Arabidopsis thaliana: one gene and its partners. The protein of the gene in region 1 interacts with the protein of each later gene in a pairwise test. Each region holds a gene or a part of one and is shown in the gene's direction. Other genes may lie near its edges.

Region 1 (6,070 bases):
CATGCAGATTGAGAGTGTTCATGAGGATGGCTCTGTTGTTTATCAGAACGGGAAGACGATTTCGGTTGATATTATTATGCATTGCACTGGGTATACATTCTTTCTTTAGTTTAGTTTCTGTTTAGTTTCTCATATATCATGCATGGTGTGGTTATTTGACAAAGCGCTTTACTTTTCGTAGGTATAAGTATCATTTTCCGTTTCTTGATACCAATGGAATTGTCACTGTAGATGATAACCGTGTTGGGCCATTGTACAAAGACGTCTTCCCTCCAGCATTTGCACCTTGGCTTTCCTTCATCGGTATACCATGGCAGGTTACATACCTATAAATTGCTCTTTTTCACGTTTCCCCTCAACATTTTAAGTCATAACAAATCGGATTTCAGGTGTTACCGTTCCCTATGTTTGAGCTGCAAAGCAAGTGGATCGCGGGTGTTTTATCGGGTCGGATCCCGCTTCCTTCCAAGGAAGATATGATGATAGAAATCAAAACCTTTTACTCCACACTTGAAGTCCAAGGGATTCCAAAGCGATATACTCATCGTATGGGCAATACTCAGGTTTAAAATCCCAAGTTTCCGCACATAAAAATAAAATAAAATAAACCAAAGCTAAACAGAAACACATCAATGACATTTTTTGTTGTTTGCAGTTTGAGTATGATAATTGGTTGGCTTCACAATGCGGATGCTCAGAAACAGAGGAATGGAGGAAAGAGATGTGTTTGGCGAATGGTGTTAGGAAGGAAGCCCATCCTGAGACGTATAGAGACGAATGGGATGATCATCACTTAGTTTCTGAAGCTTATCAAGATTTCTCTTTGTACTCATAAACAAAACATTTTATACATGAAAGTAAATTTACCGAATTTGTAAATGCCAATACTGCCATTCAATGTAAAAGACATATTGTAAAACATTAGGCGCACCAGGCAATGTAGCTCTGGCGTCTACAATGTATGTATCCCACGGTCTATTACATCTTCAGAAACTACGATGGTCTGCTTCTCGCTGTCGGTGGTGTTATATCATCGTCGCTGGCACTGGCAAATACTATGACTCTCATAGCGAAGATTACAAAACAAAATTTAAGAAAAAATTTCAATGTTCGAGATCAAGACGACAATAGACTCGTATTTTAGGTCTCAGAAGAACTGCTCTGATGAATGATACCATTTGAAACTTGACTCGATTATAAAGAATGTTGAATGTTCTGTGTTTTTGATAGATGGTTTTACAACGTATACACAAAGGTAAACGTATACAAGACTTGCCGAACAAGTATAACGTACAACACAATCCAATGCAGCCTACTAATGATAATCCATTGATTTGACTGTTTGAGAGATAAGAGATACTGTACTGTAGTTCTTTTCTTAATAAGGCTTTCACCACCAAAGTAACTAAAAGTTTTGATGATTTTGCAATTTCAGTATCCGACGTTTTCGAAGCTAAAAGATTTTTCTCTTTTACTTTCGAAACAATTGAAAACAAAGCTATCAGTGGTTTTACTTTGCTTTTTTTCCAATGAAATTCTATTCCGACTTTTGATCTTTAAGTTTTTTACAAATGTAAGAGGAAAATTAATTTAACGTCAGGTCATTCGGCCACTAAGCCAATGGAGACTTAGTAAATAGTGTGGCCCAGCAGAGGTCAATAGCCGCCACGATTTACCAAATTGAGAAGGTCGTTATGCTTCTCAACCATGCAAAGTATCTCATATTTTGGACTCACTCGAACGAGAGAATTTGATCTTATTTCGAGTGGACTAAAACGTAAGTCTTATCTTCAATTATTATTTGCATCGTCTCTAGTACGTTTGCTCAGATTACTAAATTTCAAATTTCAGATCTCTCAATTTCTGTAAAATGGGTATTTCTTTCTCGATACCCTTTGATCCGTGTGTAAATAAAGTCTCTCAATGGCTAGACATGAAAGTAAGTTATACTCACAATCTCGAGAAGAATCTCGCAGCTTTGGAGAAAACCATGAAAGAGCTCAAGGCTAAGCGGGATGATTTGGAAAGAAGGCTCAAAAGAGAGGAGGCTAGAGGTCTACAAAGGCTTTCCGAATTCCAGGTATGGCTTGATAGTGTTGCGACTGTCGAAGACATAATCATTACTCTTCTTAGAGATAGAAATGTTGAAATTCAAAGGCTGTGTCTTTGCCGGTTTTGCTCTAAGAGTTTAACGAGGAGCTATCGTTATGGGAAAAGTGTTTTCTTGAGGTTGAGGGAGGTTGAGAAACTCAAAGGTGAAGTTTTTGGAGTGATAACCGAGCAAGCTTCAACATCTGCGTTTGAGGAACGACCTCTTCAACCGACAATCGTTGGTCAAGACACAATGCTCGATAAGGCAGGGAAACATCTCATGGAAGATGGAGTTGGTATTATGGGTATGTACGGTATGGGCGGTGTAGGGAAGACAACACTTCTCACTCAGCTCTACAATATGTTCAATAAGGATAAGTGTGGATTTGATATTGGCATTTGGGTTGTCGTGTCTCAAGAGTTTCATGTGGAGAAGGTTCAAGATGAAATCGCTCAAAAGCTTGGTCTTGGTGGAGATGAGTGGACACAGAAAGATAAAAGTCAAAAGGGGATTTGTTTATACAATATCTTGAGGGAAAAGAGTTTTGTGTTGTTTTTAGATGACATATGGGAAAAGGTGGATTTAGCTGAGATCGGAGTTCCGGATCCAAGAACCAAAAAAGGACGTAAATTGGCATTTACGACTCGGTCCCAAGAGGTATGTGCACGCATGGGGGTCGAACATCCAATGGAAGTCCAATGCTTGGAAGAGAATGTGGCATTTGATTTGTTCCAAAAGAAGGTTGGACAAACAACACTTGGAAGCGATCCGGGGATCCCCCAACTTGCAAGAATAGTTGCGAAAAAATGTTGTGGCCTACCATTGGCGCTCAACGTCATAGGCGAGACCATGTCATGCAAAAGGACGATACAAGAATGGCGTCACGCTATACATGTTTTGAATTCATACGCTGCAGAGTTTATAGGCATGGAGGATAAGGTTCTTCCGCTTTTGAAGTATAGCTACGATAACCTTAAGGGGGAGCAAGTCAAATCGAGTTTGTTGTATTGTGCTTTATATCCAGAAGATGCGAAAATTCTGAAAGAAGATTTGATAGAGCATTGGATATGCGAGGAAATTATAGATGGAAGTGAAGGTATAGAAAAGGCTGAGGACAAGGGTTATGAGATTATAGGTTGTCTTGTTCGCGCATCATTGTTGATGGAGTGGGATGATGGGGATGGACGACGTGCTGTGTGTATGCATGACGTTGTTCGTGAAATGGCCTTATGGATCGCTTCTGAACTGGGAATACAAAAGGAGGCCTTCATTGTGCGTGCAGGTGTTGGCGTACGTGAAATTCCAAAGATTAAGAATTGGAATGTTGTGAGAAGGATGTCATTGATGGAGAACAAGATTCATCATCTCGTTGGTAGTTATGAATGTATGGAACTCACAACTTTGCTCCTGGGAAAGCGAGAATATGGAAGTATTCGGAGTCAATTAAAAACGATCTCGAGTGAATTCTTCAATTGCATGCCAAAGCTAGCTGTTTTGGATCTATCGCATAATAAAAGTCTCTTTGAATTGCCGGAAGAAATATCAAATCTAGTTTCCTTGAAATATCTCAACTTGTTATATACTGAGATAAGTCATTTGCCTAAGGGTATACAAGAGTTGAAGAAAATAATTCACTTGAATTTGGAGTATACAAGGAAGCTTGAGAGCATTACTGGGATATCAAGTCTGCATAACTTGAAAGTTCTGAAATTATTTCGTTCTAGATTACCATGGGATCTCAACACAGTGAAGGAGCTGGAAACTTTGGAACATTTAGAAATTTTAACCACAACTATCGATCCAAGAGCGAAGCAGTTTTTGAGCTCCCATAGGTTGCTGAGTCATTCACGATTGCTAGAGATCTATGGATCTTCTGTATCCTCACTAAATAGACATCTAGAATCACTTTCAGTATCTACGGACAAGCTTCGCGAATTTCAAATTAAGAGCTGCAGTATCTCTGAGATTAAGATGGGAGGGATATGCAACTTCTTGAGCCTCGTCGATGTGAATATATTCAATTGTGAAGGCTTGAGGGAATTGACGTTTCTGATCTTTGCTCCAAAGATTAGATCTCTTTCTGTTTGGCATGCAAAAGACCTAGAAGATATAATAAACGAAGAGAAAGCTTGTGAAGGTGAAGAATCGGGGATTCTTCCTTTTCCAGAGCTGAATTTTCTTACTTTACATGATCTACCGAAGCTGAAGAAGATCTATTGGAGACCTCTACCCTTTCTATGTCTAGAAGAAATCAATATAAGGGAATGTCCAAATCTGAGAAAGCTTCCACTCGATTCCACAAGTGGCAAGCAAGGTGAAAATGGATGCATCATACGTAACAAAGATTCACGTTGGTTTGAAGGTGTGAAATGGGCAGACGAAGCTACGAAAAAACGCTTCTTACCTTCATGCCAATTGATTTCTCTTAAATGATTTTCAAGGATTGTGTCAGCTGTTACTTTTGAGTATATTTCCAAAAAAAAATATATCCAGAGACCCAGGCTGCTTACTAAGGGAGCAAGTTGGAAGTTGATAATGTCATTTGGGTTCTAAATGGAAACTTTCTATCTCTTTGTTGCTTTCTGCTGAATTCTCTACCTGCTTATCTCTCTGTTGTGTGTTTTGCATTCTGTGTAATCAGTATCACACTTTGTATTATTGCTTTATGTGAGTTCTTTTTATAGTCCTTGCCTTCCACATGAAACATACTTTGATGACTAGTTAGTGATGAATGTATGCAAATTGATTGGGATGTGGATCAACGATTCTGAGTCTTGTGATTTCTAATTATGATCTTGCAAAAACTAGTTGATACTAATAATTCGATAGCTATTGGCATGAGAAAGAAAAGACAGTTGTAGGAGTACTCAATCCCTGAAAAGGCATGTTTGGATCTGAAAGTATTGAGACTGTGAGGTTCTGATGTTTCATTGGACCTCAACACAGTGGAGGAGTTGCTAGTTTTGGAAAGATTAAAAATTTTAACCATAAGAATTGGTTTATGATTCAGGTTTGGTTCAATTTTTAATTTCTCATCTTAAGCTTATGAGCTGTACACGAGATTTAGAGATTAGTAGTCTTCAACTAGAATCATCTGAGATAAAGATTGATATGACGTGCATTCAAAGCAACACAAGTTCTCTGTTGCGCAATCCAATAATTTCTTGAGTCTTTCTGATGTGTATGTATAAGATTGTAAATGCCTAGGGAGTTTACATGGCTGATCTTTGCTCCAAGTCTTAGATATATTGATGTTGAATGTTCTGACTAGCTCTAGAAGATATAATAAGTAAAGAGAAGGCTAGTTTAAGTGAAGAATCAGGGACTTTTCTTACGCTTACAAATTCCTGTTAATGAAGTGTTTATAGTTTCATTACTCAGTTTTGTTTGTTTAATTCTTTTCAGATTGGATAAAATGTTTGTTACAAACAGTATATGCTTCGGCACTTTTTATTTTAAACAGATTTGTGTGTTTGAATGTGGTCTGTCTCTACTCTGTTACTACTATATACCAATATATATGGAATTAACCTTCGAATCTTGGTTAACAAGTAAATGTACCCGTCGTCGCTAATGGAAGACAAAGACTTCCCTCGAAACTAATTCCCCAGCTTAATTAGGTCTTCTATACAATCCACAACAAATTGAGAAATGTGATGGCATAGTGTAACTCATAGTGTGATGATTGCTCATATTGTTTCACTACAACGTGTGTGTTCCGTGGCGAAGGAGAAGACTATCTAACACAGTTTTGATTAAAAAAAAACCAAAACGACAATTCAAGGCATGCCAATGTAACTCTGTCATTAAAAGTTTTGATGATTTTACAATTTTAGTATCCGGTGATTTCGAAGCTAAAAGATTTTCTCTCTCTTTTTTTTTTTTGGAAACAATTGAAAGCAAAACTATCAGTTGTGTTAGCTTTTTCCCAAGGAAGTTATATTTCGACAATTGAGTTTACAAATGTAAGAGAGGAAA
Region 2 (3,943 bases), on another chromosome or scaffold:
ATCAAGTTCGAATCTTTTGTACTACTCTGCTTCTTCTATCACTTACTTGTTCTGGGTTTTAGTTCGATGTTTTCATAGAACAGTTTTAATTCAAGTTTCGCCTTTCGCTATCAATAGGAATAGTTCCTTCCTCTTTGTCTTTTTTCTGTTTATAGAACTATTTCTTGCTTCTGATTTCTTCAAATGACATTCTCTCTTTTGGGTACTATTCAAATTTTCATTTTGTTTTAACCCTTTTTCATTTTTGGGTGATTTTTTTTGTTTCCTAGAATGTTTATAGCTTTTTAAGTAGTTGGTGAATCCCCAAATTAATTTCATTGTTTGTTAAACCTCTCTTATGTGTTTGTGTTTATGTGTTAACAGAGGAGGAGCATTTGGTTCATCAAAGGCGTTTCATTGTCTTCTCCTTCTCTCATGTCTATTGCTTTCATCAGTCAATACATTGCATAACTTAGCTGAATATGGTTACAACACTGGTTCTGCTGCTATGGAGTTTCAGGGCTTTATTAATGGTGAAGATTCTGGGAGTGTAGCAATCCAGAAATCTGACCAGAATGTTTGTCCTAGTTCACAGCTGTTTTGTTTCCTTTCAGCTTTAGGATCAGAGAATCGGTCTGATCCATTTGTGTTGGCTTGTCCCAAAGAATCACGGAGTAGCTCTGCTCTGATCAGAAAAAATCTATCTGGTGTTGTGTGGCTATCTCTGAAGCCTGTCCACATCATAGAGTTTCAGCCATTTACTGGATTCTTTCACATTGGAGACACTTGTTACGAGCCTATGTCCAAAGAGCTCTATACTAAGAAGACCACAAGGGAGTTAAGTATTACGGTTTCAGGAAAACAATGTGGAGGAAATGGTTTTATGGTGAACCATCCATGTGAAGGATTTTCATTAGAACCAGGGGATTCCATAAAGTTTCTCTTTTTCTACCAGAGTGAACTCTCTTGGGCATCTGGAGTTGCTGTTTTTGCAGTACCTATGAAGGCGACCGCACCTGTTTTGATGCTTAGTCTCTACAAAAAACCGGTCTTTTGGGTGCGGACGAAGAAATTCGCAATTGCGGTTCTTATTGCTGCAGCTCTACTCATTCTGATATTTTGCTTCAATGATCACTTCATCGAGGAGAACAACAAGAGAAACAATAGCAACCACATGGAGTCGAGAGAAGTTGAGAAACCATCTACGATCACAATATCCCCTGAAATGGATTCTCTGCTAAGATCCATAAGCAAAGAAAGCCTGCAAGTGTTCGATGAGGTTCCCAAGAACAGCAGCAGCGTTAAGCCAGTTGCTTCTTCACACGAAGAAGAAGCATCAGAAGCTGTGAATCTCACTGTAAAGACAGCGAAAGACAAGAAGAGGCGCCGTAACAAGAAAAAGAAGAAAGGAGGAATCAACGGATTAACACCAGAGTGCACAGATGTTTCAAGCAGTTACAGCGGAAACTCAACTCCTAGGTCTCCAATATCACCAGAACCACCTACTACTCAAGCCGCAACGAAGCTAGTAAAGCCTCCTACTAAACCGGTCCTATCGCACTCAGCAACGTTTCCGGTTTCAGGGGTTAAGTCAATGATCATACAACGAAGCTCACTGGCTCCAAATGTGAGAGCACCTGGAGCGAAATCAAGAACCGAAGTGAAAGAAGAGAAAGCGAAAGAGTATAGGTACTATGATATCTGGGGAGATCACTTGACAGGGCTTAATTTGATGGATAAGTTAAAGGAAGTGAGAGAAGGTAAAAGCTCAGGTTTTGATGGAGAGGAGTGTGAGAGTTTCTTTGTTAAGGGTCCTCAGAACTTGTTAGCAGACTCTCACACCAGGTTTGTAAGTTTCTGTAACCAATGGGGCTAACAAAGAAATAAAGAATGAAAAACAAAAATATTTTATATAATAATGCAAGGCCCAATGGGCTTTCTGAGCAGCCACCAAGCCATTCCATTAGTGAGATATAAACACAAGCAACGTCAAACCTAAATAATGAATGTCACGTAGACAAGTTTCGACGTCTTTATAAACTTGAAGGGCTTGGTTAAGATTCCGTCCTATGGCCTCTCCGCTACTCCCTGGTCCACCGGATCAGAGAAGAAATCTCGATTGGTGCTGGTCGAAGCTTCCTTCAGATCTCATGCAATTTGTATTTGACCGCCTTGGTTTTGCCGATTTCCAACGTGCAAAATCCGTTTGTTCATCTTGGCTTTCAGTTTCGAGAAATTCTCAGCCAAACAATCAAATCCCTTGGATGATTCGATTCCCCAAGGACAACAATCACTGTCTCTTGTTCAATCCTGAAGAGGAAGACAAGATGTACAAAACTCCAAATCTCGGCAACGATTTCGCAAAGAGCTCTTGTATCGCCAGTTATGGAAGCTGGCTTTTGATGCAACCTGAATCAGAATACATGGAAGAAGACTTAGACCATCAATGTAATAATCTCTATATTCTTGATCTTCTAACCCGCGAGAGAATCAATCTACCGATTCTCCAACCAGAGTTTGGACTCACATGTCCGATATTATGGACCGATGAGAAAAGCAAAGATCACCTAGTTATTGGAATGGCTCATGAAGAATTAGCCATTTCTTTCAAGAAAGGAGATTCCTCGTGGAAACAAATCCCAACCTTGTCAGGTATCGAAGAGTGTTTTAGCATGGTTTTTAAGGATCACAAACTTTACTGTCTGAGCAATTATAAACTCAAGGTCTTCGATTTCTCTGGAGATATTCCGGTCAAAGTTTTCAAAACTAGCGTAAGTAAGTTGTTAAATAATCCACTATGTATTTCCATGAGAATGAGACTTCCTGGAATTCCAATGAAGGACCAGTTGAATCACTTCAAGGATGATATGGTAGTCACTCTAGCCGGACATGTCTTAATTGTTAAGTGCCATCGTCCGAGTCTGTCCAAGATATGGAGCTTTGAAATCTACAAGATGGAAGGGAACAACAACAAGTGGGAGAAAACTGTTTCTCTGGGAGACGAGACAATTCTTTTGGATTTGGGTATCACAGTGCTCGCCAAGGACATGCAAGGGATCAAGGCCAATTCCATCTACTTCTCCAATCCTACTCCTTATTTTAAAGATCAATATGACGAAAACGAAATCTTCATATTCGACCTCGATTCCAACACCGTTGAACAACCGCACCGATCTGTTTCCTCTTCCTTTCCCCGCTCTAGAGCCCGATGGTTCTTGCCATGTTTCAAACGAGAATCATACTTCCTTCAGTAATTTGTCTTTTTTTTAATGTATCTACGTATTCTTCATATCAAGTATTGCAACATTTAGTAATAAAGAATAAAGCCAACAAACGATACTTGCCATATAGAGTAATAATTAAGCCAAGAACACCATCCTTGATTACAAGGTAATAACTTTTGAGGACGGTCTCGGACCCTCAAGATGAGAGTGAAGGCAAAAAATCACACCCGTAAAAAAAAAAAAAAAAAAAAAAAAAAAAAAAAAAAGAGAAACGGATGATCAAGAGAATCATGAGCCTAGAAAACTTTCTTACGAATCACAGACAAGGGTTGAGAACCGATGATCAGGACGCTTTCCTATGGCCTTAGAACCTGGAAATTGTGTTGAAGTAAGTTTACTTGCAAAAGAGACAAGTACCAAGTTTGTATGATGATGAAAGATATTACTCACGAGGTACGGTGTGTTATCGATAATTTGGTCTGTGATTGTCTCCTTCTCTTCTGTTGTTTACCATGTACAAGTCCCTTGCCCCATGGTTGTAGCTACTATTGAAGTTGGAATGGTAGGTCTGATGGTTCATGTATGGCCCTTGAGTGACCTCACTCTGCCTGTATGTGTCTCCTTCTCTTCTGTGGCTTATCATCATATGCGAGAAGTGTTCCAAGTCCCTCACTCCCAGGTTGTAGCCACTGTTCGAGCTGACATGGGGGTTCTGGTATGGTCTCCTCTGATGAGTAACC
Region 3 (4,450 bases), on another chromosome or scaffold:
ATATGGGATGGTGTGGAACTGGAAGGGAAAGCTGAGAATATTGAGGATATTGCGCCATTTAAGGTGGTTGGGGATGACTTGATTCGTCATTTTAGTCACAGCAAACATTCTTTAAGACTCCACAAGAACAATATCATTTATGATGATAGTACACGATGTGAAGCATGTGGCCATCCAGTCGAATTTGGTCGAATATACAATTGTGAGGAATGCTGTTTCATTCTTCATGAAAAGTGTGCTAATCTCCCTATGAAGAAAAGGCTTGTCTTTTCTACCTTACCATTCCTATTACTGGGACCGGGTAATGATGTTTGCAAGGTTTTAGATTGCAAGTTATGTGGAATGTTTTTTACTGGTTTCGAGTACAAGTCCCAAGAAAGGAGGCAAAGCGATATCGATGTACATTGTGGTTCCCTTACGGAGCCGTTCGTCCATGATGGCCATTTACATCCCTTATATTTTGATCAAAAGCAAAAGGAGCTTCCTTGCAATGCTTGTCAAAAAACCATAAGAGATTATATGCTTTGTTGTGCTGATTGTGACTTCAATTTGTGTTTATGGTGCGCTAGTCTGCCAAAAAAGATAAGGCATAGCAACGATGAGCACATTCTCACGCTATGTTGTGGTGAAGAAGCAAATGGAAAATATTGGTGTGATATCTGTGAGGCAGAGTTGGATCCAAGTAAATGGTTCTATACATGCTTTGGTTGTGGAGGCACATTGCATGTGGAATGCGTACTAGGAGATTTCTCACGTCTCATGCCAGGATGCACCATTGACTACCGGGTATATACCGTGGAGGTGGTTTTCAATAATCACAACACGCGACCAATGTGCAGCCGGTGTCACTCTCGATGCAAGGTTTCTGTAATCCTTAAGTTTCGTGAGGGTAACATTGTATATTTTTTTTGTTCACGTTCATGTTTTCTGATGCATTTCTCATATTATCTGTGAGGCATTGCTACGATTTTTCATGTGAGAGGAAAAGGCTTTGATGTTTTATTCTAAATTGATGAGTGTATCTTTTACGGTGGTTTCTCAATTCTTCCCCTATTTAATCTTATGAAAATTATTGGTGTGATACATGCGAGAGAGAGTTAGATCCAATTAAATCGTTCTATACCAGTAAATCGATCGATACAGTTACTTTGGAGACTTATGTTATTGTTCCCGTTCATGTTTTGTGAAGTACTTTGCAATAAACCGGTGGATCTTTCTTGGTGGTTTCACACTTGAAAAAATATTCGCGGTGAACCTTTATTTACCGCTTTTATTCCAGTTAATTAGAATTTGTCACCTAATAAAAAAAATTAAATTTATTTAATTATAAAATCTTTTTTGACAGACGGATAAGACCATGTTTTACCTGATTTATGGGCGGGCGGATAAAACCATCACCGCCTGCCATTGAACATCTTATCTGTCATGACTATTCTCCATTCACTAGTCTTTTTGAAGAAGCGAGAGGAGGAGCCCCTTTTTGAACAACTACTTTTGACAATCAATAGAAATCCAAAAGCTAAATCGATTCATATCAAACAATATTGCTAAAATATAATATCGAACGCAACAATAACAACTACAGCATGTTGTGCAATGTAATATTTCTCGGAAATAGATAGTCAATGCTATCAAATCATGATTTATAAGTTTAGAATATATATCTAAAAAGTAAAAACATATTTCGGATCAAATTCGAATATTTTGATTTTGACTTTAAAATAAAAATATTACAATCCTGATCTGGAAACTCTGTATCATATTTGTTGGAAGTTGGATGGGATCAAAATTTCTCTAACCTCCACGTTCAGCTTCCATTTCTCCTAAAGAAAAAGAGAAAAGAAAGAATCTCATTCACATACATCATACATGGATACAGGAGCAGTAAAGCTACCCATTCACGAGCACCCTATATTTCCTTCGGCTCGGATCGTTTTTAGTACATGTAAAGGCTGCGGTGTAGAAGATTTCGTCTACGGCGGGTACGTCTGCAATGATTCTGACTGTAAAGCTCGGTTTCATAAGGAGTGCGCTGAGGCCCCATCTGAGATCAGCCACTCTTTCCACCAACAACATCCTCTCTTTCTCACCAATGGCCTGGGAGATCTTCCATGTGATTTGTGTGGACAAAAGCGATTGGAAGCCGCTGGTTATAGTTGTCCCACATGTGAGTTCAAGCTGGATTTGACTTGTGGGATAAACCCATCACCGCCTGCTATTGAACATCCTATCTGTCATGACCATCCACTTGTCTTTTTGAAGAAACGAGAGGAGAAGGCCCCTTGTGAAGTTTGCAAGGATTCTATTGGTGGACCTTCCTATTCTTGTCTTGGATGCGATCTGTACTTCCACGTGGATTGCGTCCATCTCTCAAAAGAGGTAAATCATCCTTGCCACCCTAGTCATCCTCTCAAGCTCATCGCATCTGAATCACTTACGGATAATGCTGAGAAGATTTGTCTTTTATGTGAACAACAACCAGAAAATATGCTTTATTATTGTTCTGTTTGCAACTTCACATCATGCCTTGGTTGTACTAAACGCCCACCACCTCTTTTTATCGAGCATACCAAGACCCACAAGCATCAACTTACTCTCTTTCTAAACGGAATTTCATATCAAGGTTCCGCGCTGACATATAACAGCAGAGCTTATATGTGCCTTCCTTGTGGTTTCGTTGTCAATGGGAATGGTATCAACCTACCTCAAGTCATAAACATCAACCGTCACGACCATCGTATCTCTTACACTCATCAGCTTGGCCCTGGATATTTGAACTGCGGAGTTTGCCGCGAAATTGTTGACAGGGATTGTGGGGCATATGCTTGTGTCGTTTGCAGTAACTATGCAGTTCACTGGGAATGCGCAGTACATGATAATGTATGGGATGGTGTGGAATTAGAAGGGACATCTGAGATCACAGAAGATATTGCACCATTCAAGGTAATGGGTGATAACTTGATAAGTCATTTTAGTCATGAACAACATACTCTAAGGCTGCACAAAGAAGGCATCATTCATGACGCGTACGCACTATGTGAAGCATGTACATATCCGATCGGATTTGATCCGATCTACAGTTGTGAGGAATGTCATTTCATTCTCCATGAAAAGTGTGCTAATCTTCCTATGAAGAAGAGACTCGTGTTTGCAACCACACCATTCAAATTAGTGGGAGCAAGTAGTCGTGTTCGTGATGTGATAGACTGTGGGTACTGTGGTGAATGTTCTACTGGTTTTAAGTACGCATCTCAAAGAGGGTGGGAGATAGATGTACATTGTGGTTCTCTTTCTGAGCCGTTCGTTCATAATGGCCATTTGCATCCACTATATTTTGATTCTAAGGAAAATCACTCTTGCAATGCATGCCATAAGGTAACGGTTCATATGCTTTGTTGCAATGCTTGTGACTTTGATTTGTGTTTAAGTTGCGCTAGTTTGCCATTAAAGATAAGGCATAGAAACGATGAGCACCCTCTCACTCTATCTTGTGGTGAAACGGCGAATGGAAAGTATTGGTGCGATATATGCGAGACAGAGTTAGATCCAAGTAAATGGTTCTATACAAGCTTTGATTGTGGAGTCACATTGCATGTGGAATGCGTACTAGGAGATTTCTCACGTCTCATGCCAGGACGCATGGTTGATACTGTTGGGGGAAAGAAATTTTATGTGGTTCTTAACAATCACAACACTCGACCATTATGCAGCATGTGTCGCTCTCGATGCAAGGTCTCCGTCATCTTAAAAGCTTGTGATGAAGACAATGTATACATATGTTCTCGTTCATGTTTTTCTGATATGGTTTCAGCTAGATCATGTTGATTGAGTGTTTAATTTGTTTAATTTTGTGTGGAAAGGATGAAACTTCGATACCCTTTATATTTTACAAGATGAGTGAATTATTCATGGTTGCATTCGCTAGCTGCCCTACAAGTCCAAATTCAATATCTGATTTTAATTTGAACTTCTTTACTTTGCTCGTCTTGCAACATAACTGAGTTGTGATTTAAATTCTAATAGATACTGTTAAGGGTTTCCATGTCTCTATATTTTATCTATATAAAGATATGCCTAAGAGTTTATAATTCCATCACTCATAAGATTAATGCAAGAAAATATCTTAGAGACTACAAGGTTCAAAGATATTTGTTTATTCTTAGTTATGTTTTCTAAGATTTCTCTAAATTTTGCCCGAATTCACAACACAGCTTTAATTATCATTATACTCTTCCAGTTTTATCTGTAAGAAACTAGAATGCAATCAGACTCATTGTTATGCGATAGCATGATCACTTATAGTTATGAAAATCATTGTTATACGGTAACATATTGAAAATATTGAATTGCTATACACCGAATGGCCAAGTATATATAACCAAGGTAAAAATATGTCAAAATAATGGCTTCGCCCGGGTTCGAACCGGAGACCTTCAGTGTGTTAGACTGA

Evidence for each region. The genes of interacting proteins can lie anywhere in the genome.
Region 2: the proteins of AT1G63360 (region 1) and AT5G66830 interact in a protein complementation assay, tested with the Arabidopsis thaliana proteins (one large-scale study listed by BioGRID).
Region 3: the proteins of AT1G63360 (region 1) and AT5G59940 interact in a protein complementation assay, tested with the Arabidopsis thaliana proteins (one large-scale study listed by BioGRID).

Annotation. Positions count from the first base shown.
Region 1 is NC_003070.9:23,497,970-23,504,039, reverse strand, and holds AT1G63360 (Disease resistance protein (CC-NBS-LRR class) family), read left to right. Parts: upstream 1-1,718; 5' UTR 1,719-1,870; coding exon 1,871-4,525; 3' UTR 4,526-5,556; downstream 5,557-6,070. Other genes in the region: AT1G63370 (Flavin-binding monooxygenase family protein), read left to right, coding at 8-90, 182-317, 390-563, 656-835.
Region 2 is NC_003076.8:26,689,256-26,693,198, forward strand, and holds AT5G66830 (F-box protein (DUF295)), read left to right. Parts: upstream 1-1,997; 5' UTR 1,998-2,048; coding exon 2,049-3,233; 3' UTR 3,234-3,434; downstream 3,435-3,943. Other genes in the region: AT5G66820 (uncharacterized protein), read left to right, coding at 364-1,855; AT5G66840 (SAP domain-containing protein), read right to left, coding at 3,667-3,943.
Region 3 is NC_003076.8:24,135,543-24,139,992, forward strand, and holds AT5G59940 (Cysteine/Histidine-rich C1 domain family protein), read left to right. Parts: upstream 1-1,682; 5' UTR 1,683-1,869; coding exon 1,870-3,825; 3' UTR 3,826-3,941; downstream 3,942-4,450. Other genes in the region: AT5G59930 (Cysteine/Histidine-rich C1 domain family protein), read left to right, coding at 1-954.